Alligator mississippiensis: one gene and its partners. The protein of the gene in region 1 interacts with the protein of each later gene in a pairwise test. Links are inferred from orthologs where the notes say so. Each region holds a gene or a part of one and is shown in the gene's direction. Other genes may lie near its edges.

Region 1 (7,614 bases):
CACCACCCTCCACCCACCAACAATAAAAAACCCTCTTCCCAAACTGAAAACTATGTAGTCTCTGGACCCTGGCTATAGACAGTTCCACTATGGGTCCAGGGGCCATGGTGAATGCCAGAGGATCCTGTGAGTGAGAAGTGGTGGAGGCCCTCCTCCAAGGGCCAGGTGAGGGCCTGCTGTGGGCCAGCAGGAGGGACCCAGGGACCCTGCAGGGCCGGGGCCAGGGGCCAGGAGTGGGAAGGCATGGACATGGTCTCCACTGGGTGGCCCTGGCTGACCAGTTGCTGCTGAAGCAGCTCAATGCAGCACTGCTTCAGGGCTTCCAGCTGGGCCCAGTGCTCCTGATGCATCTGGCCCTGTGCCTCCTCCTGGGTGGTCTTGCAGGTGATAGCTTTCTGCTGCCAGGCCAGCTCCCATGCCTCTCATGCCTGCTTCTATGCTGCCCAGTTCTCCATCACCACCACCAGCCACTGGAGCAGGGAAGTCCAGTCCCTTGTGCACTGCTGACAGTCAGCATGTCTAAGCGGCTCCAGCAGTGGGTGGCAGCAACCCTGAGGCAGCATTCCCACAGGGCCTTGTGGCCTCTCCCCCATGTCCAGATGTTGGTCCTGCAGAGGCAAGAGACAGAAGCCTTTTATGTGAGTTTGCAACATTTCAGAGATAAGATGCTCTGCACCAGAGTCTGTGTGCTGCCTGGCCTCAGATCAGGGGTCGGCCATGCGTGGGTTCCCAGGGACCATGGAAAGCTGTCCAGGCAGAGCTGTGCTCAGGTGGCTGCCAGCCAAGCCTCCCAGCCTTGCTTGCTCCCCTGGGGCTGGCGGGCCTCTGGGTGCTGGCTGCAGGCATCTGCCTCCTCTGCCCCCTTCCCAGGGTGGGTCAGGCCAGGCTTCTCACAGCACCTGCTGCCACAGCTCTAGGCCCCACTCCCCCCCTCTCCCTACAAGCCAGCTGCTCTGCTGTACTGCTGCCTAGTCCATGGCACCCAGGCTTGGGGCACACAGGACTCCTGGACAACTAGGGTGAGGGGCTGGCTGTACCCCTGCCTTCTCCACAGGAGGCCTCTCCAGGGTGGTGCCATGAGGCTGCCACCCCCCATGCCACTGCTGTTCCCTGAGTATGCCCTTGCTGCATGTACCTCAGGTGGTGTGCAGTGAGCTATTTGTGCAGGTGGGGGGTAGCCAAGTCACTATGCCCTGCTGTTGCTGATCCTCCTGGTACCCCAGGCACACCTGCCCTCCTGGTTTGGGACCCTGAGGTATGACATTGTGGGTGGCAAACCTGGGCTGCCCACAACCTCCACGGCCACCTGTTGCAGTGCTACACAACCTTGCTGCCAAGGAAGACATTGCCTCTGGGATTGATGCCTTCCTCGGTGTGTGAGAGGCCTGTGCCCACCCAGCTGTGGGGACACAGGTTGCTCAATAAAGTTTTGAACTGTGTCCCACCTCTCTGCATGGTATGGGGGGGACTCTGGGGCCAAGGGGAGTATGGGCAGGGGCCAGGGGCAGGGGTAGGGGCAGTGACTGGGATGGCCCTCTCCAGTGGCACGATTTACCATGTGTCCAGGGATAGCTCAGCATAGGGCTCCCTGTCAGTGATGGTGTCTGGCTACACCCAGTATCCATGGCCTGTATTGTGCAGCAGGCAGAGCCTGGCCAGGTGCCCCTTCCCCCTCCCCCCCCCAGGGAAAAGTTGGCAGCTGGCAGTGACAGGCTGGCTGTTCTTCATGGCAGGGTGTGGGGCTGGGCAGAGGGTGAAGCAGCTGCTGGGCAGGGCTCTCCAATGCCAGTGGATGCAGCAGGCAGGAAGGTGGGTGGGGCAGGGCACTGAAGGGCTGAGGTCCCCTCCTCGGGGACATATGACAGAAGGTGTCAGGGTGGGGAGCAGGCAAGATTAGGCCACCCTTGCTGGTGGCACTCTCAGGGGTACAGTCTGTCTCCCAGGGAGCCAAAATGCAAGTTACCTCCCGCATGAAGGGCATGGTCTTCTGGGCATGACCAGACTGACAAATAAATGTGGTCACAGCCACCCACTGTGCTTTCAAGACCTTGACTTTCATGCGACACTGCTAAGATGACTGAAAGTGGCCTCACACATGCATCCCACCTGGTTTGGTCTTATAAATGTGGGTGTCCAAGCTCCCACCTCGTGTGAACCATCTCTGGACATCAGTCCTGCCTCAGAGTGCTATGAGGTTACCAGCTCTCTGGGCCCCCTGTGGCTGTCCCTGCAATGCTGTCCCTGGATGGCTGCCAGCAGCACCCTGGACAGGGGCACAGCCAAAGACTGTGAGCCATGCAGCAGAGGAGCTTCATTACACTTCCTGCAAAGAAATAGAGCTGGGGGTGAGGAGCAGCAGGGGCAAGTGCTGGCCACCCTGCTGCCATAGATATCAGAGCCAGCAGCCCTGGGGGGAATCTCAGGGCTGGGCAATGAATGTAGCAGGCTGCAGTCCTTTTCATTACTCACCTGTGGCCAAGGAGCAGCTCAAGCTAGGACAGGCAGAGATTGCCTGGGTTGCTTTTATAGCTGGCAGCTAGGGGCTGCCAGAGAGCAGCCCAGCCCTGGGGCAGGAGAGGCAGCCTACCAGGAGCCATGGGGCTGGGCTCTGGCTGACGCCCTAGTGGCTGGGCAGACCCAGGACTAAAGTCACCCTAATAATGCACTTCAACGCGTCTACACATGCATTAGTGCACTTTAATTAATCACACCTAAATTTGATACCTGCTTTTGCAGGTATCAAATTTAGGCATGATTAGCCTAAATTTGACATTTTTAAGGTGCATTAAAGGTGCTCACATGTAGATGTGAGCCCATGATGTACCTTAAATCAGTCTAATGTGCCTTAACTGCACATATATAGATGTGCCCATAGAGTACTCCTCCTCTTCTGCCACAGCTGCTCAGCCCCTGGAGAAGAGGAGTTTTCCTCACCCCAAGGATGGCACCAGCAGTTACAGGGGAGTGGGGAGCAGGGAGCCAGAGAAGAGTCCTGTGGGGTATGTGGGCAGAGCTGCATGGGGGGGTGGGAAGGGCAATTTGAGCAGTGCAGGACAGCAGGAGGACAGTGGGGGCAGTGGGGGGCAACTGAGTGGGATGGCATAGGCCAATCTGGGCAGTGGGAGAGTGACCTGAGTGGTGTGGGGAAGCAGTGGGGGACCCCTGATACCCTCCATCCTTCATCCTTCCCCTACCTCTCCCCTGGCCTATACTGCTGCTGGAGAGTCAGCAAGTAGAGCAGGCACAGAGTAGACTAGCAGCTCCTAAACAAGCCCCTGCTTGCCAGGCCTCTAGTGGCAGGTCAGAGTGGTGGATGTTAGAGGGGGTATTAACCCTTAACATATGACTTCTATGATGACTGTCAGCAGAGAAGACCAGGGTGCAGGGTCGAGGCAAATCAGCCTGTGTGGGGCCCAGATTTGGCGGCAGCGGAGGGTGGGAGTGGGAGGGTGGTGAGCGGCTGGATGCGAAGCTGGCCTGGCTCTGTGAGGTTTCCCAAAGTGTGGGGCCTGGGGCAGTTGCCTCGATTCACCCCCCGCCCCCCCAGGGATGGCCCTGACTGTCAGTGCTAGAGTACGCTGGCCGTGCCACAGTAGAAGCAAAATGACCAAGATTGTTGCCTTGGGCAGGTACAAGATGCAAATCAGCACAAGACAGAATCTCATGTTTTTATCAGGTTGAATTTCCAACCTGGTAAGAGACCTGCTCTGTAGAGCTTGGCAGGAACTAGGTTTTCCATTTCCTTCTTTCCTTCCTTGGCTTTTCCACATTTTCCTTCCTTCTTTCCTAACATTCTACAATGAAATAAAAACAGAATCTAAACTGTAACAGCATTCTCCATAATGTTCGTTCTGATCAGATGAAAGCATTTTATTAGAATAAGATCAACACATCTTGTTCCCATGTTGACATTTTACTTTGACACCACAGCCTTCTCTTCATGAAAATGCATCCCTACAAACGAACAGCTAAAGTTAGTCCCAAATCAACACACACACACACACACACACACACACACACTAACCCTAGGCAAAGTTAACACCCGCACCACACAGGTATCGAATTCGGCATAAGGCGCCACATTTACTGCGCAGCACGAGCATGCCCATGTAGACGCAGCATGTGTAGCCGTACCCAGGATGTCCCAAAGGGGAAGAGGCTCCTCCTGCCCAACTCGCAGCCAACTGGAGCGGGTTGAAGAAGCGCCGCCACGCCGAGCAGGGGCTGCCCGCGGCCAGGCTGAGCCCCGGCCATGCCTCAGCCCGGGGCGCGGCTCTGTGCTCGGGCAGGGGCAGGAGCCGCGCCGAGGCCGCCCCTTGCCCGCGCTGTGAGGGGGGAGCGGTGCCCGGGGGCAGCCCCGCCACACAGCCCAGCTCCAGGGGTTACTCATTAACGCGGCTGCAGGGCTGGCCCCGCGCCGGGCCGGGCTGAGTCGAGCCATGGGCGCGGCGGGGGCTCCCCCGCCTGTGGGGGGCGGGCTGGGGCAGGGCGCGGGGCGCGGAGCGCGGGCCGGAGCCGCGCCGGGGCTGGCATAAAGGCAGGCGGGGGGCGGCGGGGAGGAGCCCGCAGCCGGCCGGGCAGCCTGGCGGCCGGGAGCGATGCAGCCGCCCGGGCGCTGGCCTTAGCCCCGCGGCAGCCGTCGGGGAGCCTCGGACAGCCGCTGCCCAGCGATGCCGCTCAAGGCAGCGCCGAGCCGGGCCGCGCCGCCCCCGCAGGACCTGCTGGCGCTGCCCGCGGACGGGCTCTGCCCCGAGCCCCGCCTGGCCCCGGGCGTCAAGGCAGGTGAGAGCGCGGCGGGGGCCGCCCTGCGGGGCCGGGGCTGGAGGCTCGGGGACCAGAGGAGACGGGGACGGGGTGGGACAGCGGCATTGCCCCCGGCCACCGAGACATGGGGGTGGATGTGGCCCCAGCACTGCTGTGTCTCCCGATCTACTTACCCATCTGTCTATGTATCTGTCTCTCTTCCTGTCCACTGCTGCATCTATCGATATACTTATCCTTCTATGTATGTATGTATGTATCTATCTAGCCCTAGCACTCCTATGTCTACCAATATACTTATCCATCTATGTATGTATGTATGCATGTATCTATTCCTAGCACTGCTGTATCTACGATATATCTATCTATCTATCTATCTACATATATAACACACATACATAGAAAGAGAGAGTCCTCGGTCTGAGATCATCTAGCCACAAATCTGGACTGTAGCGATACAGGATGCAGAGAGGGAGGGAGAGAGAGCAAGCCAGGACTGCTACATCAATATAGTTTGTATTTTGTCATGCTGCAAGTTTTTACTTTGTTTCATACAGCTACATTAGCTGACCTAGATAGGTAGAGCTATTTACTTCAGCCAGAGGCAGCAATTCTCAACCAGGGCACCTCAACAGCTTTTCAAAGGTGCCGTGGGATGCCACACAGTGTTAAGCGCATGAACATGATTTGCAAGATAAACCCAGAGATTTCATATAGGAACCCATAGTGTTAAAAAAACATTCTGACTTATTGTGGTCTTTCTGAGGTCTTTGCAATGGAAGAATTGCTCTATTATTTTTCTGTAGTCAAAAATGAGTGAAAAGCAAGAGCTAGCATTTTCCATAGTGTGCCTTGAGCTGAAAGAGGGGTGCCTTCTGCCAAAAAGGTTGAGAACCACTGAACCAAGGCACCTCACTGTCCATAGTTATACACACCATATTACCAGCTGCAAACACAAATACTGTAGGTAAAATCACAGGAAATGAACACAAGAATAAATCAGCGCTGTGGCAAATATATCAGGACAAGAAACTGTGATAAACAAATACAGTGAGACACTTGGATTTATGTTCTTTTCTCCCCCTCCCCCTTTCCTGCTAGAAATACATTTTAACAGTGAAACCCTTTCCTCAGAAGAGGAGGATGCAGATATTCATGGCAATAAAATAAAATCCCTGGACAAACCCATGTCTCCAAAGAAAACAATCACACAGATCATGAAGGATAAAAAGAAACAGACCCAACTCACACTACAGTGGTAAGGCTTTTATTCATCTATAGATATATTCACACATATATATATATATAAGTAGATACATATATCTACTTTGGTTCATGTATAAGATACAAATCTACCCTGCCTTCCTCTAGTTCAGATACAGAGCATACCTGTTTTACTTCACAGTTTTTTTGCTAATTTTTTTTTTTTTTTTGAGGAGAGAAAGATGCTCATTATTTACAGAGTCTGAGTATATTTGGGTTGGAAAATCTCAAAATGAAAGCTTTCCCAAAGAAAATTACTCTACTATTTGAAGAAAATATTGATACTTGCCTTTTAGTGTCACATAAGTAAAACTAGATAACACAGGATTTTGTGTCAAAGTGAATGTGCATATTGGTTGATGCAGTAAGTCATGTTACATTACATAACCACTTTTTCAGTTTTGTTATTTGATTCAGATGTATTCTGGTATTATTTTGAAAATCGTTATTTCAAAATGTAGCGCACAAATTTTTTGTCGTAAAATTCTTAAAGATTATATTGCTGAACTTTATCTGTTTTTAATATATCCACTAGAATAATTTCATGAGATTCACTACATGTGCTCTCTATGAAACGGCAAACTTATTGAAGAATAAAGTCACTGTGTACGGATTTATCAGAGCTGAATGTAAATTCAGGCATCTGAAATGGAAATCAAGTAAAAGGATAGATTGTAATTGAAATATTCCTTTCTGTTTACCAAATCATAAAATACTAATCAGTATATGATGCATATTGTCAGAGTATCAATTTATTTCCATGAAGCATGATTTGTCTCTCTCTCTTAAAAACAAGTAAGTGACAATATTGGAAAGAAAACCTTGCTTTTTGCATTTTTTCTGAATGATCACACCTACAATAACACCTAAGCCCATTAACAGTGTTAGAAAGAAATGGAGAGGTGAATGATTAAGGCATAAACTTGTGAAAGGATGTGCTTAGTTACCCACTAATGCTATGTCTATGATAGTTTCACTGAACTGTCATACATTTGGTCAGTGTATCCCACTGTTAATGAGAAAGCTAATTTTACTGCATTTTATTTTGGCATGATTTTTCCAAATAGTTCTCTAACTCTGCCTTTCTTGCTCAGTAAAGAGTGCCCTTGGACTATTGGGAACTGTATTATACACTACAGAGGTAGACCTAGATTATCCCCCTTAACTGTGAAAATCATAAGAGCAAATGCAGGGTTGTATTTGTTAGTGCTGAGATTTTTATTTATTTTACCCTAAAAAGTGGGATATGATCCCATGCCATATCCTGTGTCTTCTACAGCATTTCCTTTCACGTGTTTATGCCATTTGAAAGAATGAGGGGTTTTATTTTTTGTTGTGTTTGTAATGTACAAGCCTTACTGATGACCATGAAGAATATAATGCTGAAGAATAGAAATGAGCTAGGGCTGAAATACCCTACTGGACCAGGTGCTTAGCGGTACACAGCTACAATGTGAAAAGATCTAGGAATAGCCACCAGGTGTGGTTTCAGTCTATGGAATTCTCTTTGATATCCATCAATAGACAATCCGAATTAGCACTGGTTAGCAATTTTTCACCAAAATGTTTTCTTCTTGGAACATGCCAAAT
Region 2 (7,498 bases), on another chromosome or scaffold:
TACTGTGTGAACCCCTCTGCAGACGAGTTCCCGTAATGGAGATTTTTTTTTCAAAGAGCTTCTCCTGAACGCAGCCTGAAAAGTCCATCCACCTGTCTGCTCTCCAGCTCCCACGAATGGTTTTGTAACCAAGAACAGCAGAGATCTGGCAGTGATAGAGCAGACGCAGTCTCACGCTCCGAAGGGGCCTTTCTGAAGACGAGGGTGGGGGCATATATTCCTCCCCCCACACAATTTCATTGTTAAAGGGAGAAAGCAAGCAAAGAGAGGCCCCTCCCCAGGCTTCCCCTCCCCTGCCCCCATATGTTCAGTGCCTTCCCAAGCAGGGAGTGCCCATTTCTCTTCCACTCCCGTATTTTTTTTTTTTTTTGGCCCCGGCATTTTATTTGATGCCAGACTGCCACTGCTCTCTTCGCTTTCACAGCCCTGAGTCTGCCACCCCTGAAGGAACAGGCCCCTACAAATCACCGCTCCAAGTCACCTACCTGCCGCTGCCCACCGTGCCAGGGGCGCAGCTATGGGTGAGATCCCCGGAGAGCACAGATTTGCTTGAATTTACGAGACCCGGCTGCCACTTCCCGTCCCTGTCTTGTCCCAGCTCCCAGCCAGCCAGCAGCTTCTCCACCCCTCTCCACCTGCTTCCAGCGACTGGTCACAGGAAGAAGAATCACAGCCGAATGCTGGAAATTTTGTGCTGCAAAGCGAAAGGAAAACATCTGAGTTAGGGAGATGATTTTTTTTTTTAATCTGCCTGCCCAGGAAACTGGATCTGTGTCAGCCGAGCTTCTAATTACGGAGCTTTTTAGCTTAAACCTACAGAGCCAGCCAATGGCAGGGAATCAGAGCAGCAGGCAGGGAGGGAAATGAGCAATGGAGCTCAAGGGATATGTTAACCCTGCAAGGGAAAGAACTGTACACTATATCTGTTTTTTCTTACCACCTCCCATTCTACTATCATCCGTGTCTCCCCCTCCATATGTTGCTTCATTCCCTCTGTTCTCTTAATTCTCTTAGCTGTGACTGTTGTTCTTGCGTGTAGATTGTACGCAGTTCTGAGATGTCTTGGCAAGGATGATTATAGGCCATTTTAGAGATGGGGACACTGAGGCACAGAGAAGGGGCACCGTCCTTAAAACTCACTTTTGCCGTGATGCCTGCAGAAACCGCAACAACGGTTGGGCAGATGGGCTGTGTCACTGCTAGTGATCAAGCTGTTCATAATAATTTCTCAGATGCCTTCTGCTCCTCTCCATCTGCTTATTATATCTGCCTCTTGTCTTACATCTGCCTACTCAGCTCTATGGGGCACGAGCTGTTGTCAAGGTACACGTTTGTACAATACCTGACGGCAAAGCTAGGGCTTCTACTGCAATATGGGTAGGTGACACAATGATGTCAGTTAAGTGACTTGACCAAATTCATATAGAAAGTTTGTGGCTAAGCTTAGAAGAAAACCTAGCACAACCTCTTTCTCATAGCCATACCGATTTATGTTCCATAGCATTTGTATCCTTGCATCCACCCGGGCATGGACAGACCTACACCTGTCTTGAGGTATTTTGTATATCTAAGTAAATTATACTGGGATCAGGGACGGACAGATGTATTGCTACACTGGGACAGGTCAAATAGTAAGTGTTTATTGCTATGCCTCACCAATAAGCAGTGGGAATAAGCAATAGCCTGTTTGCCTTTGGCAAACAGCTACCTCAGATGAACACTGACAGTTATACCTCCCTGGTACAACTTACACTATAGTTGAGGGATAGTGCTTCTTTCAGGGATACTTCTCCACTGGCTTGGGTGACATGACGCCAGTTTGGAGTTGGTATTTTTCCTCCGCTCCTTTTTTTAAGCTGATGCAATGCAAACTACAGCAGTGTTGATATTTCATCTGCCCATGCCCTGAGTCCCAAATGAACTTAGGAGGGGATGTATGAAAGTGTCTAGGTGCAGGGCACAGAAAAGGGCCCCTGCAAACCCACCCAAAGCAGCAAAAGGAGCCCCAAAGGCAGAAGTAATTCAGCGAGGAGGCCGTTCCAGAGGGAACTATTGTTTCTTGGGAACTCTCTCAACTTTGGCTCAGTGACAGTTAATCTGCTCTGTTTGGGTTTGGTGTGAAGTTAGTCACAGCAGTGTTATCTTGCCTGCTCCTTGTTATGGACTTTGTACCATGGGGCCCCTGTCCTCTCTTTACCTCCTCTGTGAATTTGCAACACAAGCTGTAGTATTGCTGCTTCCTTTGTCACCTCCTGAGCCATTCACTCTCTCTCCTCATTTATGTCTATTCACACCGGAGAGGGAAACATCCTTTGAGCAAGGCCATCTGGGCTGGAGGGCTCAGTCGCAACACCTAACCAGACAGACCCAATCTGTTGTCTAAGCCCGTTACAGAAGCCATGCTAGAACGGTGAAAACATATGAGGAGGGCCCGTGAGTCGTTGCAGTCCTAGCGCAAAGGGGACCTAAATTGCAACCTAATCTTTAATCCAACAGATTGTTGTTGTTTGCATTTCAATCGTGACAGGAGGCCCCGACTAGGATTGGGCCCCCATTGTGCTAGATGCTGCGCGCACACAAAAAAGCCAGTGTTGTAGACAAGACAAAACAATAGGGATAAGCAAGGAAAGAATGTGTCAGCTGTACAGAACTAATGTCCTTGTCAAAAGACTGTGCCCAACTATTCCTGAAGTTGACTCTGAACTGTCCCAGCTGCACTGAGGATGCATTACGTCCTGTTAGGGATCCAGGTTGTCCTGGTGTTAGCCCTTCCTACAGGGTGCATTTCCCTGGCGAATCAATTCCTTTCTACACACAAGCAATTGCCATCCTTGTGGCACGTAGCAGTCTTGCACTGGTTCCCCACTGGAAGGAACCAATGTATTTTACCCAAAAGCCCTGTTCAAAGCCTGTTTAAAACATGCATCCACCTGATGTCAGGAGTTAGCCTTAAAACTCTCCTCTGCTACTCTGGTGACTTCAGGAGAGAATTTAACCCTGCAGCTTGGCTAGCACGGTCATAAAATATCCTAATTCACGATACACTAACACTTGGTGTTGGCATCGGACGAAGCGAGCTGTTGCTTACACATCTCTGATTCGCTCAGTTTATAAGTGCAACTCTACCCTGTCTGCTTCAGCCCTCGCTGTTCATAATGGTCAGGGAAGCCCTGGTTAGCACATGTTTAAACATGCATGTAGGGAGTATAATTATTGTTTGTATTACCGTCGACTCCAGGAGCCCTAGTCACGAATCAGGACTCCGGGCAGTCACATTAAGAGCAATGGTGAACCCCTGCTAAGAAGGTACAGGAACAAACAGCTTGTCCGGGGCGTGGGGGGGAAAGTCAACAAGTGCGTGCTCACATTGCTGCTGTTGTTGAACCACTGGATGAACCCTACACAGGAGGTGGCTGGCTTGGGAGAGGGCAGCAATCCCTGGGGGTACTGTGTGCCTTCCTTCCCCCTTTCCCCACCTATATTTGAATACTGAAACACCTCGGAGGCTCTCAGGGGTTTGGTGGAAATTTCCCTTTGGACGCAGAGCAGCTGCCGGCACTTTGCAGCGAGGCAGAGAACCAACACTCGGCGGATAATCGCCCCGCATGTTTCTACAGCAGCGGTTCTCAACCTTTTTAGGCTCAAGAACCCGCTCGTTAGACTCATGGCTGCCCTCAGAAACTACGTCAGCTCTTTCGCTTCTTGACGGCAGGAAAAACAGCACCTTCCCGAGGTCCAGAGAAGAGCCGTACGAGGACAGACTGGTCAGCTTAGAAAAGAGACGCTCAAGGGGGCACACGAGAAGGGCTTGCAAAATGGTAAATGGCAAGAGAAAGTCAACAGGGATTTATGGACGTTCCCTTGCTACAAAAAACCAAACTCTTCCCGTGTCTCCCAAGGCGTTATGATTGCTTATAGTTGGTCAGCTTGTAGGCCCAGAATCATGGTTTGGGGCATTAGCCGGTGGCATCAGGGGTCACGACGTGAACGCTTCTGCTGCCACACGGCCCCCGCTTCTGCCACGAAACGAGACGAGGAGGCAGTCTTTTGTACATGGCGCGTCGGTGACGGGCGCAACTCGTGGCCAGCGGTGGTGGCAGCTAAATGCAGCCACGTTGTAGCGGGAAAGGGGTCGCTACGGAGCCTCCGCCTCGCAATGGCCCAGGCTTCAGCACCCACTGTCTGCCGCCTTTTAACGCGGGCCTGTTTGTTACGGCCTGGGGGGCCTGGCCTGGCCTACGGCAACCCTCCCTCGAGGAGGCCGCGGGGGACAGAGCTGACCCCTGGGACAAAGACAACAGGGCGAGAGCCGGCCCACCGGGCAGGACAGGCTGACAGCTGCTCCAATGGCTGGGTCCAGCTGGGACAGGAAGTGAGGGGTCTGGGACAGGAAGTGAGGGTTCTGGAACAGGAAGTGAGGTATTTGGGACAGAAAGTGAGGGGTCTAGGTAAGTGAAGTGTTTGGCACAGGAAATGAGGGGTCTGAGACGAGAAGTACGGCATTTGGGGCAGGTGAGGTTGGCGGGGGGGGTCCCGAGCGCCGGCCCCGCTGCGCCGCCCACACGCCGGCTCGGGGCAGTTGTCGAGCGGGAGCGCGGGGGCGGGGCGGGGCCTGGCGCGCCCGGCAACGGCGGGCTCCGCGTGACGTCACACAGACGTCACCGTCCCGCTCCCCGCCAGGCCCCGCCCCTCCCCGCGCCCCCTGGCGGCCCCGCCGCGCGCCGCCGGGTCCTCCAGCCGGGGACGCTCTAGGCGGCGGCGCCGCACTCGCTGCTCCTGGCGGCCCCTGACCCCGGCCCGCGCGGGGGGAGCGGCGCTGGCGGGGCCCGGAGCCCGAGCGGGGCGGCGGCGGCCCTGGGCCCGGCCCCGCGGGTCCCGGCGGCGACGGAGGCCGGGCAGCGTCGCAGGTACCGCCCTCCCTCGAGGCCGGCTCCCCCCGGCCCGCGAGCGCCGCGTGTGCGGGGTTTCCTCGGGCCGCGGCGTACACCCCGGCCCGGCGGGCGGGAGGGAGCCACGTGCGCTTGGTCCCGACGCCCTGCCCCAAGCAGCACCCGGGGGTCGGGACCAGCTGCCGTGGCCTTGCCGCCCAGCCGGGCCCCCTGGTGCGCACGGGGGACGCGGGCCGGACAGTTCGGCACCTGTTTTGTATTTGAAGATAGGTTTGTCGCCCGGCAAGTCGGCCGGTTGCCCCTCCAGGAGGAACAAACGCTAGGAAAACGCCAGCGTTACTCGGCTCTCGGTTGCTTTTTACGGGGAGTCTAAAGCGTCTCGCTCGGCGAATCCGGCGGCCGCCTTCGCCACCTCGAGAGGCGCGAAAGGGAGTCTGCTCCGCTTGCGTTCCCGCCGTGGAAACGTGTTTGATCGGGTGGAGATCGGTGCAGGGGGGAAAGGGGTGTGCGGGAAAGGAGGGTCGGTCGAGGCAAGGCGAGAGGAGGTGGAGCTGTTGCCACGAGGGCGAGTCGTGTTTTCCGGCCGCGGGGCTGGAAAACGAGCGCTGCTGAAGCGAGCGCTCGTCAGGACTTCGTAGGAACGGCGCTGCTCGCACGGGCAGCTCCGTCGGTGCTGGGTATTGGCAGCTCCCCTGAGACTCCAGGCTTTTAATAGTCAGTTTTAGCTAGGCTTGCCATTCGAAGCCTCGTTTCGGGGCTCCCGTCGTCTGGGCAGCGTTGCGCTGTCGTGCTTTGGCTTCCCCACAACTGGCCGACTCCCCGAGTCTAAAATGTGTCCAATCAAGAGCTCTTTGACGGCTGCTTATTCTTTTCCGTTTCTGGCACGGTTAAACTTAGTCGTAGCTACAAAGTGCCGTTAACCAGAATGCCATTAAGATGCAAATTTCAGTGGAGCTAAAATTTTCTCCGCACTGAAGAGGTTTGTGCCCTTAACCGATACATGGCTAGCCAGTGTTTGCTGACTGCTTACGCAGTTTCCACGTATTAGGACTGGTTTTGTTATGCGGGGGAATTATGCGCTTAGTCGGCATGCACGTAAATTGGGTAGCCTCTGCTGAGCGTTTCTCAGGGTTTTGTTGGTGACCAAAGGAGTTGTTGAGTTAGACACCTATAAGGGATCTAATAAAAGCTCCCAATAAAAACAGGTGAGATTTGGGTAGGCAACTGGAAAAGCTGGAATTTTCTATGTGGCTATTTTTTTCCTTTTGTTTTCTTAAAAATGTTTGGAAGAGGTTTTGAAAAGCACTCCCAGAAGTTAGGCGCACAACTTCTGTGGACTGTCAATGCAGGTTGGATGCCTACTTCCTATTTTGCAAGACTTAACTTGTTGTTCACCCCCATAAGTAGAAAATGGATGTCACAGGAAAACTTGCCAGGTGTGACTTCAGACTCCATCTGTAAGGTGGGAGGTCAGCATATTCCACTGTAGCCCTTAAGAGAGGCAGGCAGGTGCATGGGAACCTGCATCTTCTGAGGGGAATGCTATTTTCTTGGCTGAGCTGAACAGTTTCAGGTATTCATAGTACTAAGGAATGCAGCTGGTTTGTTTTTTGTAGAAAGCAGAGACAATTAAGCATGAGGAAATTGCAAGAAATGGTCTGGACAGTGTTTAAATGCAAAAGGCACTTGCGTGGTGCAAGGATGCCAGGGTTTTGTTCAGTAGTGTATGCATCCCAAGGGATCTGGGTAGTTGGCACATCTGGACATGGAAACAGAGTCACAAAAAGTGTGTACTGAGACTCAAGTTCTAACCTAGGAATTTACATGGAATAGACATTGGCAAAATATTCAGCAGTGAGGCTGCAATGACCGGTTGACTTGGCTCTTCAAGGATCTTCGAGGCAGGGAGTCTCGCAGTCTTCCAGTGGAAACTATAACCCCCCACTGCAAACAGTTCCCAGAGCTTGAGCCAAGATCCAGAAAAAAAGTAGGAGAGGAAGGAAAAGGTGGGAAAAAATAGATGGTTTGTACAAAACTTGGAAGTTCGATGGAGACCTAGAGAGGCCGGGGGCAATAGAAATGGTTCTGATGGCAGAAGGAGAAGGCCGTGCCACCGGTGACCAGATTAGATGGAAGAGGAATCTGGATCTTGGTTTGCAGCGAAAGTCTGTGAAGTTAACTAGAACAGGGCTATGGAGAGGGCTTAACAAACAAGTTGGGGTTGAAAGGCTCCTGAAGTGAGCAGGGAACCTGTGTAATTCTTGACATTTGGGGGTGGGTGGTGGGGAGAGGAATGTGATTGCGCTTCCCAGACCCCATAGGAGAGTGGGCTACAGCCTTTTGCTCTTGCTGGAGTTGCAGGAGTTGGGACAACGTGAAGCTGCCGGCAAGGCTTTGCAACGCTCCGACTTGGCTGAGGACTCTAGTTGTCTGCAGTTACCCAATGAGGCAGAACGTGCTTGTGTTTCTGTGTGCCGATTCATTTCTCCATCTGTGTTCCCAGCCTCGCTTTCTTTATGAGCAATGTGGAGCTAATTCCTTAACAGTCAACTATATATTGCCTTTGGGTCTAGCTCGTTCACGGGTAAGCGGGTGCAGCTCCCACAGGC
Region 3 (7,301 bases), on another chromosome or scaffold:
GATGACACCAAGCTGGGGGGAGTAGTAGATATGCTGGAGGTTAGAGCTAAGATTCAGAGTGACCTAAGCAAATTGGAGGACTGGACCAAAAGAAATCTCATGAGGTTCAACGAGGACAAGTACAAAGTCTCGCACTTAGGACAGAAGATTCCCATGTACCTCTACTGGCTTGGGACCAACTGGCTAAGTAGCAGCTCTGCAGAAAAGGACCTAGGGGTTATAGTGGACAGTAAGCTGGATATGAGTCAACAGTGTGTTCTTGGGTTGTCAAGAAGGCTAACAGCATACTGTGCTACATTAGTAGGATTGTTGCAGCAGCTCAAAGGAAGTAATTATTCCCCTCTATTTGGCACTGGTGAGGCCACATCTGGAGTAGTGTCCAGTTTTGGGTCCCCTACTATAGAAAGTATGTGGACAAGTTGGAGACAGTCCAGTGGAGGGCAGTAAAAATGGTCAGGGGGCTGAGGCTCGTGACTTCTGAGGAGAGGCTGAGGGGACTGGACTTATTTAGTCTGCAGAAGAGAAGATAGAGTGGGATTTGATAGCAGCCTTTAACTACCTGCAGGGTGGTTCCAAAGACGATGAACCTAGACAAAGTGGCGGATCTGGCCTGCTGCTGGACTCTATTTCCCAGATGTCCCTGCCCACAGGACTGGGGCCAGTTTCCATGGAGACCCCAGCAGCAGCCATTCTGTGATAGCATGGAGCCAGGGTTTCTGTGGCGATTGGCCCCAGCAGCAGCGGGCAGGGCACGCGGCAGGGCGGGGAGCTGCTCCTAGGGCAGTCTGGGATCTTGCAGCTGTGACAGCATGGTCCACAGCCAGGGCAGAGTCATGATCTACAACCTGCATACTCTGGGCAGGGGCATGCAGGCAGCAGATTGCAGTTCTTCCCCAGCTCCAGACCATGCTGTCATTGCTGCAAGGAGCCGGGCCAGAGATCCGTTGCCCGCACGCCCCTGCCGAGAGCATGCAGGCTGCGGATCACGGCTCTGCCCTGGCTTTGGACCACACTGTCACCACTGCAAGATCCCAGCCTGGCCCCAGAGCAGCTCCCTGCCCTGCTTCATGCCCCCGCTACCACTGCTGGGGCCAGTCTCCATGGACTAGATGACCCCTGAGGTCCCTTCCAACACTAATTTTCTATGACTATGATTCTATGACCTATAGTGGAACAATAGGCTCCATGGAAGACAGCTTGAACACCACTGTTATACTTCATATAAGTCATGAAGTCTGAGTAATATGAGGGCTCTCTAGTGGACTAATCACATGAGAATTAGTACAGTTCTAGTGCACTGTGAAACAGTTGTCTTTAATATTTGATGATAGACTCTAGTTCTTTTTTTTTTTTCCTTAGATCTCTAGAAGCAATCTGAGTTTAAATCCATCTGTGACCTAGAAATTCTGGCCAAGGTTCAAGTTGGCCAAAAAATAAGCAGATGATCTAATTTTCTGGAGTCTGTTCCACTCAAAGCTTGATAGTGCTTGGACTGCATTCATCAAAGCAGAATTAGAAGGTTCAGTTACAACGGGCACATCTACACGTGGTGATTTAAGGCACATTAGCCATTTTTAAGGCACATTAAGGGCATGGGGTCTACATGTGTGCATCCTTAATGCACCGTAACGATAATTTTAGGCTAATCATGTCTAAATTTAATACCTGCATAAAGCAATTACCAAATGTAGGTGTGATTACTTAGGGTTTTAGTCAAAGCCCAAGAAACAGGCACCCTGTGACTCCCTGCAAGGGAAGGGAGCAGTGCAGCATAGGCAGGGCCTTTGCTAGCAGCTCTCCCATACCTTTCCTTCCAGGCAGGTTTGCTGGCCAGGCCATGCAGCCCTGCAGGGACAGGATGCTTCACTGCCCACCCAGGATTCAGGCACCCTTAGAAGCCTCCACTGGGCTCCCACCCAGAATAGCAGGTGGGTTGGGACTGTGTCTGCCCCCAGCACCTGGCATGGCTTTCCCTGCTCCACCCACCTCTATCCTGGGCAAGCACCTGGCCTCTGTGCGGACACTGTGGGTGGGAGAGGTGGTGTCAACTTGCGGGGGCTCTGCGTGGCACAGCTTGAGTGCAACATGGGCAGAGGCTCAGCCTTGGATAAGGCAGGCCAAGGAGAGAGCTGAGCCTCTACCCACATTGCACCCAGCCTACACAGGCTGAGCTGTGCAGAGCCCCCAGGGACTGACACTGCCTTTTCCACCCAGTGTCCAGCATGGAGGTTAGGCATTTGCCTGAGATGGAGGTGGGTGAAGCAGCAAAAGCTGTACCAGGTACTGGGGGGCAGATGCAGTCCCAGCCCATCTGCTGTCCTGGGCAGGAGCCCCAGCACAGGCTTCTAAGGGTACCTGAATCCCGGGCAGGGAGTGAGGAGTCCTGCCCCTGCAGGGCTGCATTGCCCGGCCAGCAAACCTGCCTTGAGGGAGAGGAACTAGCAAAGGCTCTGCCCACTTCCCCTGCAGGGAGTCATAGTGTGGCCTGTCCCTTGTGCTTTGCCAGAAGCCCTCATGCCTCCTAGGCCCTCTGCTGACTTACCGCACACCAACAGAGACTGCTGCTACCAGAAGCACTGCTCCAGTTCCAGTGTCTGTGCCTTGCAGAACAGCACCCACCGTGTTTTCTTGGTGGTGCCTGGTGGCAGCGTGGGGCCCATGGGCTCAGCTTTGGCCTGCTGCCCTCCGATCCTGGGGAGGCAGGAACATGGGGAGGGGGTTGGAGCCACGGCTGGGGCTAGGCGTGGACCAACCACTTCCGGGGGGACTGGAGGCTCCCACTTGGCAAGTGCTGGGCTACACCACCCAGCTACACTGCCACGGGCTTCCGGGGGCTGTCCAGAGTGCTGACCAGGGCAGGTTGCCCAGCGAGCCACATTAAGGTGCCTTAAGGCCTCCACGTGTAAACATGTGCCTAAATTGCCTTAGGATAAAGCGCATTAAATTTAAGCCCACGTAAATTCATGTGTAGACACACCCAATGAATACTAAATTACTACACATTTGCTTTCCTTTCTCTTTCCTATCAGTAGGTTAATCACAGGTAAATACTGCATTTTTTAAATCATACTAATCATACTACTATCCCAGGTTAAACTGGGTATGTAGATCATTAAAGCCTACTTGTGCCCTGGTGTCTAATCAGTATGGAATCAACATGCCTTTCCCATGCGAAGTGAATATTTAGCATTTTGATTCAAGAGATAACAATGGGAACATTAACAGACCATTTCACTAAGTAGAAAGGCAGGAGTGAAAAAAATGGTGTTTAATAAAAGAAGCCCTCCTCAAATGAATTAGTACGGCAAAAGGATTACAGAGGATGCAAACAGGCAAAAATACGTGGTACAAATTTAACATGAAAAACTAATTTATACCACTTCTAGTATGTATCTGGTATAATGCCTAAATATCAGAAATTATGCAAGAGGCAGGGATTTCTTAAGGCAATATCTTTTATTGAACCAACTATGTGGTTAGGATAAAGTTGGACAAGATTTCTAATTTAACATTCTTCCTCATATCATATCTGAATATTCCTCATGCTGTTTCATATCTGGATATCATAGGGCACTTACTGTTGTTGGTAAAGTGCTTTGCATATTTGACTATTACAGCAATTATCACCACCATAATCTTGGGCTGGTCCAGAGCACATACTTAGAGCACTGTAATGCCTGGTCACTGTCAGAGCAAGTATTTGCCCAGCTGGTTTCAAACGGACAGTCAGAGCACTGTGAACCTTGAGAGGAACAAAAAGACAACAGCAACCAAAAGAGATATCAGCAGGGGTGAGGAGTAAAAAGCGGACTGGAGACAGAAAACCTTTTGTCCCCGCATTCATTTCATGTGGAGATTGTGAGGTGAATGGCTTTGAAATGAAACTGGGTTATGAAGGAGTTGCTAGGTCACAGGAAGCAGGACTGCCTGACCTCACTTTGTGGACTGGTTTTTTTTTTTTAAAAATGGAATTAATCTTAAAAGATTTCCTCTTTTCTCTTCTCTCTCTCCACTCCCCCACACACTCTGTGGAGGTGGAAAATCATGTCTAGTTTAGTGATTTGGGCTTGGCGGGGTGAGGAGAAGGGTAGTGTTTCTGGAGTTGGGAAAAGAGGAGGGGTCACTGTCATCTTGTCCCAGCCCATCTCCTTTTCTAGCCAATAGTGGAAAGCTATGCAAATCAGCAGCGCAGCCCAGTTGCAGCAAATCACAACAATGAGCTCAGATGCACTGGAAACTTAGCGGCTCTAAGAGTTCACAGACTCAGACTGGAAAACCGCCTTCAATTCTGGGGATATTTTCATTTTCACTTCTGAAGACATTACATAGGAAAGGAAGATGTGTGAGATTGTAGAGTATTCTGTCTAGTTTCACAGAACTACTCCAGATACATCTGCAATTATGAAGTATAAGGTGAGGCAAATGGCTTTTTTAAAAAGATTTTGTTCTTATTCAGTGTGTGTGTGTGCAAGGGGAACGTTTACATTTTTAGTTTCATATGGACTCTGAGTGACATTTCCATACCAGTACAAGACAAAAGAGAACTGGATATGCCAGTTTTTTCCATACCTAGAATCAAAGGATATAAAGAACTTTTTTTCTTGAATTACACTGAGTTCTGTTTTTTTTTAAGGCTGTCAGAGTTTCAAAGAAAACTCTATCTGATTTCTTTCAGTTGCCACAGATACTGTGCTGGCTCCGAGTAGATAGGAATGTCAAGTTTCAGACTCATTTGTTCTAAAATAGTTTTTAAAAGTATCTTTCGAGGAGAGACTAGTGAAACTGGACCTTTTCAGCCTCCGCAAGAGAAGGTTGAGAGGCGACCTAGTGGCTGCCTATAAATTCATCACGGGGGCACAGAAGGGAATTGGTGAGGATTTATTCACCAAGGCGCCCCCGGGGGTTACAAGAAACAATGGCCACAAGCTAGCAGAGAGCAGATTTAGACTGGACATTAGGAAGAACTTCTTCACAGTTCGAGTGGCCAAGGTCTGGAACGGGCTCCCAAGGGAGGTGGTGCTCTCCCCTACCCTGGGGGTCTTCAAGAGGAGGTTAGACGAGTATCTAGCTGGGGTCATTTAGACCCAACACTCTTTCCTGCTTATGCAGGGGGTCGGACTTGATGATCTATTGAGGTCCCTTCCGACCCTAACATCTATGAATCTATGAATCTATGAATCTTCTTTCTGACTGATTGTGCCATATGTTTTTCAAGGGAACTGTAAAAATGTACCTATCATCTTTTAGGGATACAAGTTGTAACCATCATCTTTTAGAATTCTTAAAGTCCTCATGGGAGGTTGATATTGTGAATGTAATGCTCTTGTCTGAAAGCATAAGGCATTTTCTTAGCTGCAAGCCTGGAACACACGGGCAGAATAGTGCATGTGCTGTATTTCAAGTCGTCTGGACACTTGTAAAAATCCTTTCTGTTTTCAGCCACGGAAACAAGAACTTTATGAGAAAGAGAACTTGATTCATCTTTAGCAGATACATATCGTATTGATGTGTAACCCAGACTGGGACCTCATCAGGAAAAAAAATAGCCTGACTGAGGCGTGGGTGGGTTCTTCAGGAATTTCACTACTGCTTTTGCATATCCAGGAGAAAGATCTTGAATAATTGCCCTGAAGTCAAAAGGAATTGCTCCAGATTTAGGATTGCAAAATAAGAACCCTTAAATACTAAAGAATTGTAATAGGATGGTGTGGAAAAGGATTCTGTAATTTTTAATGTTGTGTGAATTTAAAAGAGAACATGCTTTTCTGTAATTTTCTGATGCTGCTATATCACTGTACATACCTGGATAATGGGATAAATTCTCCTCCTATTTACAGCAGTTAGTTCCAGGAACTCCTGCATAACACTGTTGCTATCAAAAAGGAAATTAATACCAGTGGATATGTCTACGTAAATACACATTTTGTGATGTTTAGCATTTTTTTGGCATATAAACTTTTATCTTTTTCCTTAAAAAAAAAAAAAAAAGATCAGCCTGTTTCTTAAACTTCACGAACATATGTTTTTTGTGAGCAATACGCAACTTTACAGCAGGTTTCCTTTAACTGGTTATGAGCAAGAAATCAACTGTATTTTTGGCCATTAGAACCATATTTTACTATTTTAAAAAAAAGCTTTTTTTAATCATTTTTAAAATAAGGTTCTGCTAAGAGATGTGCACATGAAAAGCTGATGTGTCAATAATAGTATTATGCTGACTTTTAAATACCTGGACAGGGTACTGAAGCATTAAATTACTGCTCAGACATATGGTAATCTTGTGTGATTGGAAAAAAAGGAGGGAGGGAAGGAACATTTTAGTTTTCCTGCCAAAAAAGCCCCTTCAAACTCAATAAAAAGGTGATTTAGAAATATCACATGCATTACACACACTTCCTTAGATTTAAGCTGTTCCAAGCAGGGACCATCTTTTTATTCTATTTGTGCATGGTCCAATATAATGGAGCCCTGCTCCTTCAATGATAAATGTGCTGCATGAACCTGCACAGAACAGAAACTCTTGTTGCTATCAGAATATAAATCTATACAATATTAATGACACAAATGCACCCACCCATTCTGTTGGGGCAATACAGAGGAGTCCAGTCCAACCCCACCTACCCTAATTTTAGGAAAGTTGGGGTCCCACCCTTATAGCTGCTTCCTGTTTCCCTAATGAGCTGTACCCCAGAGTCTGTTGCAGGCAAACAGGTGCCAATGATGTGGGTCATACAAGGCCAAAATAGCCCAATACAAAATAACTTGGGAAGCTCTGATCTGGATAACTCAGTACTTATAACTGGGCTAAGTAAAGGCCAGTGATCTAAGCCCCACCCCCTCCCACCCCCCTTTCCATTTTCCTGTTCTAGCCTATTTGTATTCGATACAAGTCTGAAGACAGTTTGACTTGCACACAAAGAATATTATGTACTTACTAATATAGGAAAGTATAAGAACTAATACAGGAGTGTACAGGAACCATGAGAATGGCCATTTCACTTGGTGGAAATTATTGTTTGTTTTAGCATTAAATACATTCTCACTGGTCATGAATGAGGAATGCTGTGTGCTGACTGCTAAATGACAAGCCTGCACAATTATACAGTCCCTAAAATTCCTCATCTCCTTCCCTGGCTAGAAACAACTCTGCAGTAGTGAGGAGATCATATTTCACACGTAGTCTCAGCCTGCTGTGAGAGTATGAAATGATAAGCCTCTTTACCAGCAGAGCTCTACCCTGCTCTGTAAGGTTTCTCCTCTCCGATTCATTAGGGCTTTGGCTTAGAAGGTGATTACGTAAT

The links.
Region 2: the proteins of RFX6 (region 1) and FRS3 interact in binary tests that used the Homo sapiens proteins (3 or more experiments, as listed by UniProt). The two-hybrid records come from large-scale screens. The link is inferred for Alligator mississippiensis from reciprocal best matches to the Homo sapiens genes RFX6 and FRS3.
Region 3: the proteins of RFX6 (region 1) and NEDD9 interact in binary tests that used the Homo sapiens proteins (3 or more experiments, as listed by UniProt). The two-hybrid records come from large-scale screens. The link is inferred for Alligator mississippiensis from reciprocal best matches to the Homo sapiens genes RFX6 and NEDD9.

What each region holds. Positions count from the first base shown.
Region 1 is NC_081824.1:101,816,014-101,823,627, forward strand, and holds the start of RFX6 (DNA-binding protein RFX6), read left to right. Parts: upstream 1-4,584; 5' UTR 4,585-4,670; coding exon 4,671-4,782; intron 4,783-5,862; coding exon 5,863-6,019; intron 6,020-7,614. UniProt on the Homo sapiens protein: Transcription factor required to direct islet cell differentiation during endocrine pancreas development. Specifically required for the differentiation of 4 of the 5 islet cell types and for the production of insulin.
Region 2 is NC_081837.1:38,889,290-38,896,787, reverse strand, and holds the start of FRS3 (fibroblast growth factor receptor substrate 3), read left to right. Parts: upstream 1-4,406; 5' UTR 4,407-4,448; intron 4,449-4,797; exon of another isoform or gene 4,798-4,907; intron 4,908-4,982; exon of another isoform or gene 4,983-7,473; intron 7,474-7,498. UniProt on the Homo sapiens protein: Adapter protein that links FGF and NGF receptors to downstream signaling pathways. Involved in the activation of MAP kinases. Down-regulates ERK2 signaling by interfering with the phosphorylation and nuclear translocation of ERK2.
Region 3 is NC_081826.1:132,751,067-132,758,367, forward strand, and holds the start of NEDD9 (enhancer of filamentation 1), read left to right. Parts: upstream 1-4,213; 5' UTR 4,214-4,401; coding exon 4,402-4,413; intron 4,414-7,301. UniProt on the Homo sapiens protein: Scaffolding protein which plays a central coordinating role for tyrosine-kinase-based signaling related to cell adhesion. As a focal adhesion protein, plays a role in embryonic fibroblast migration.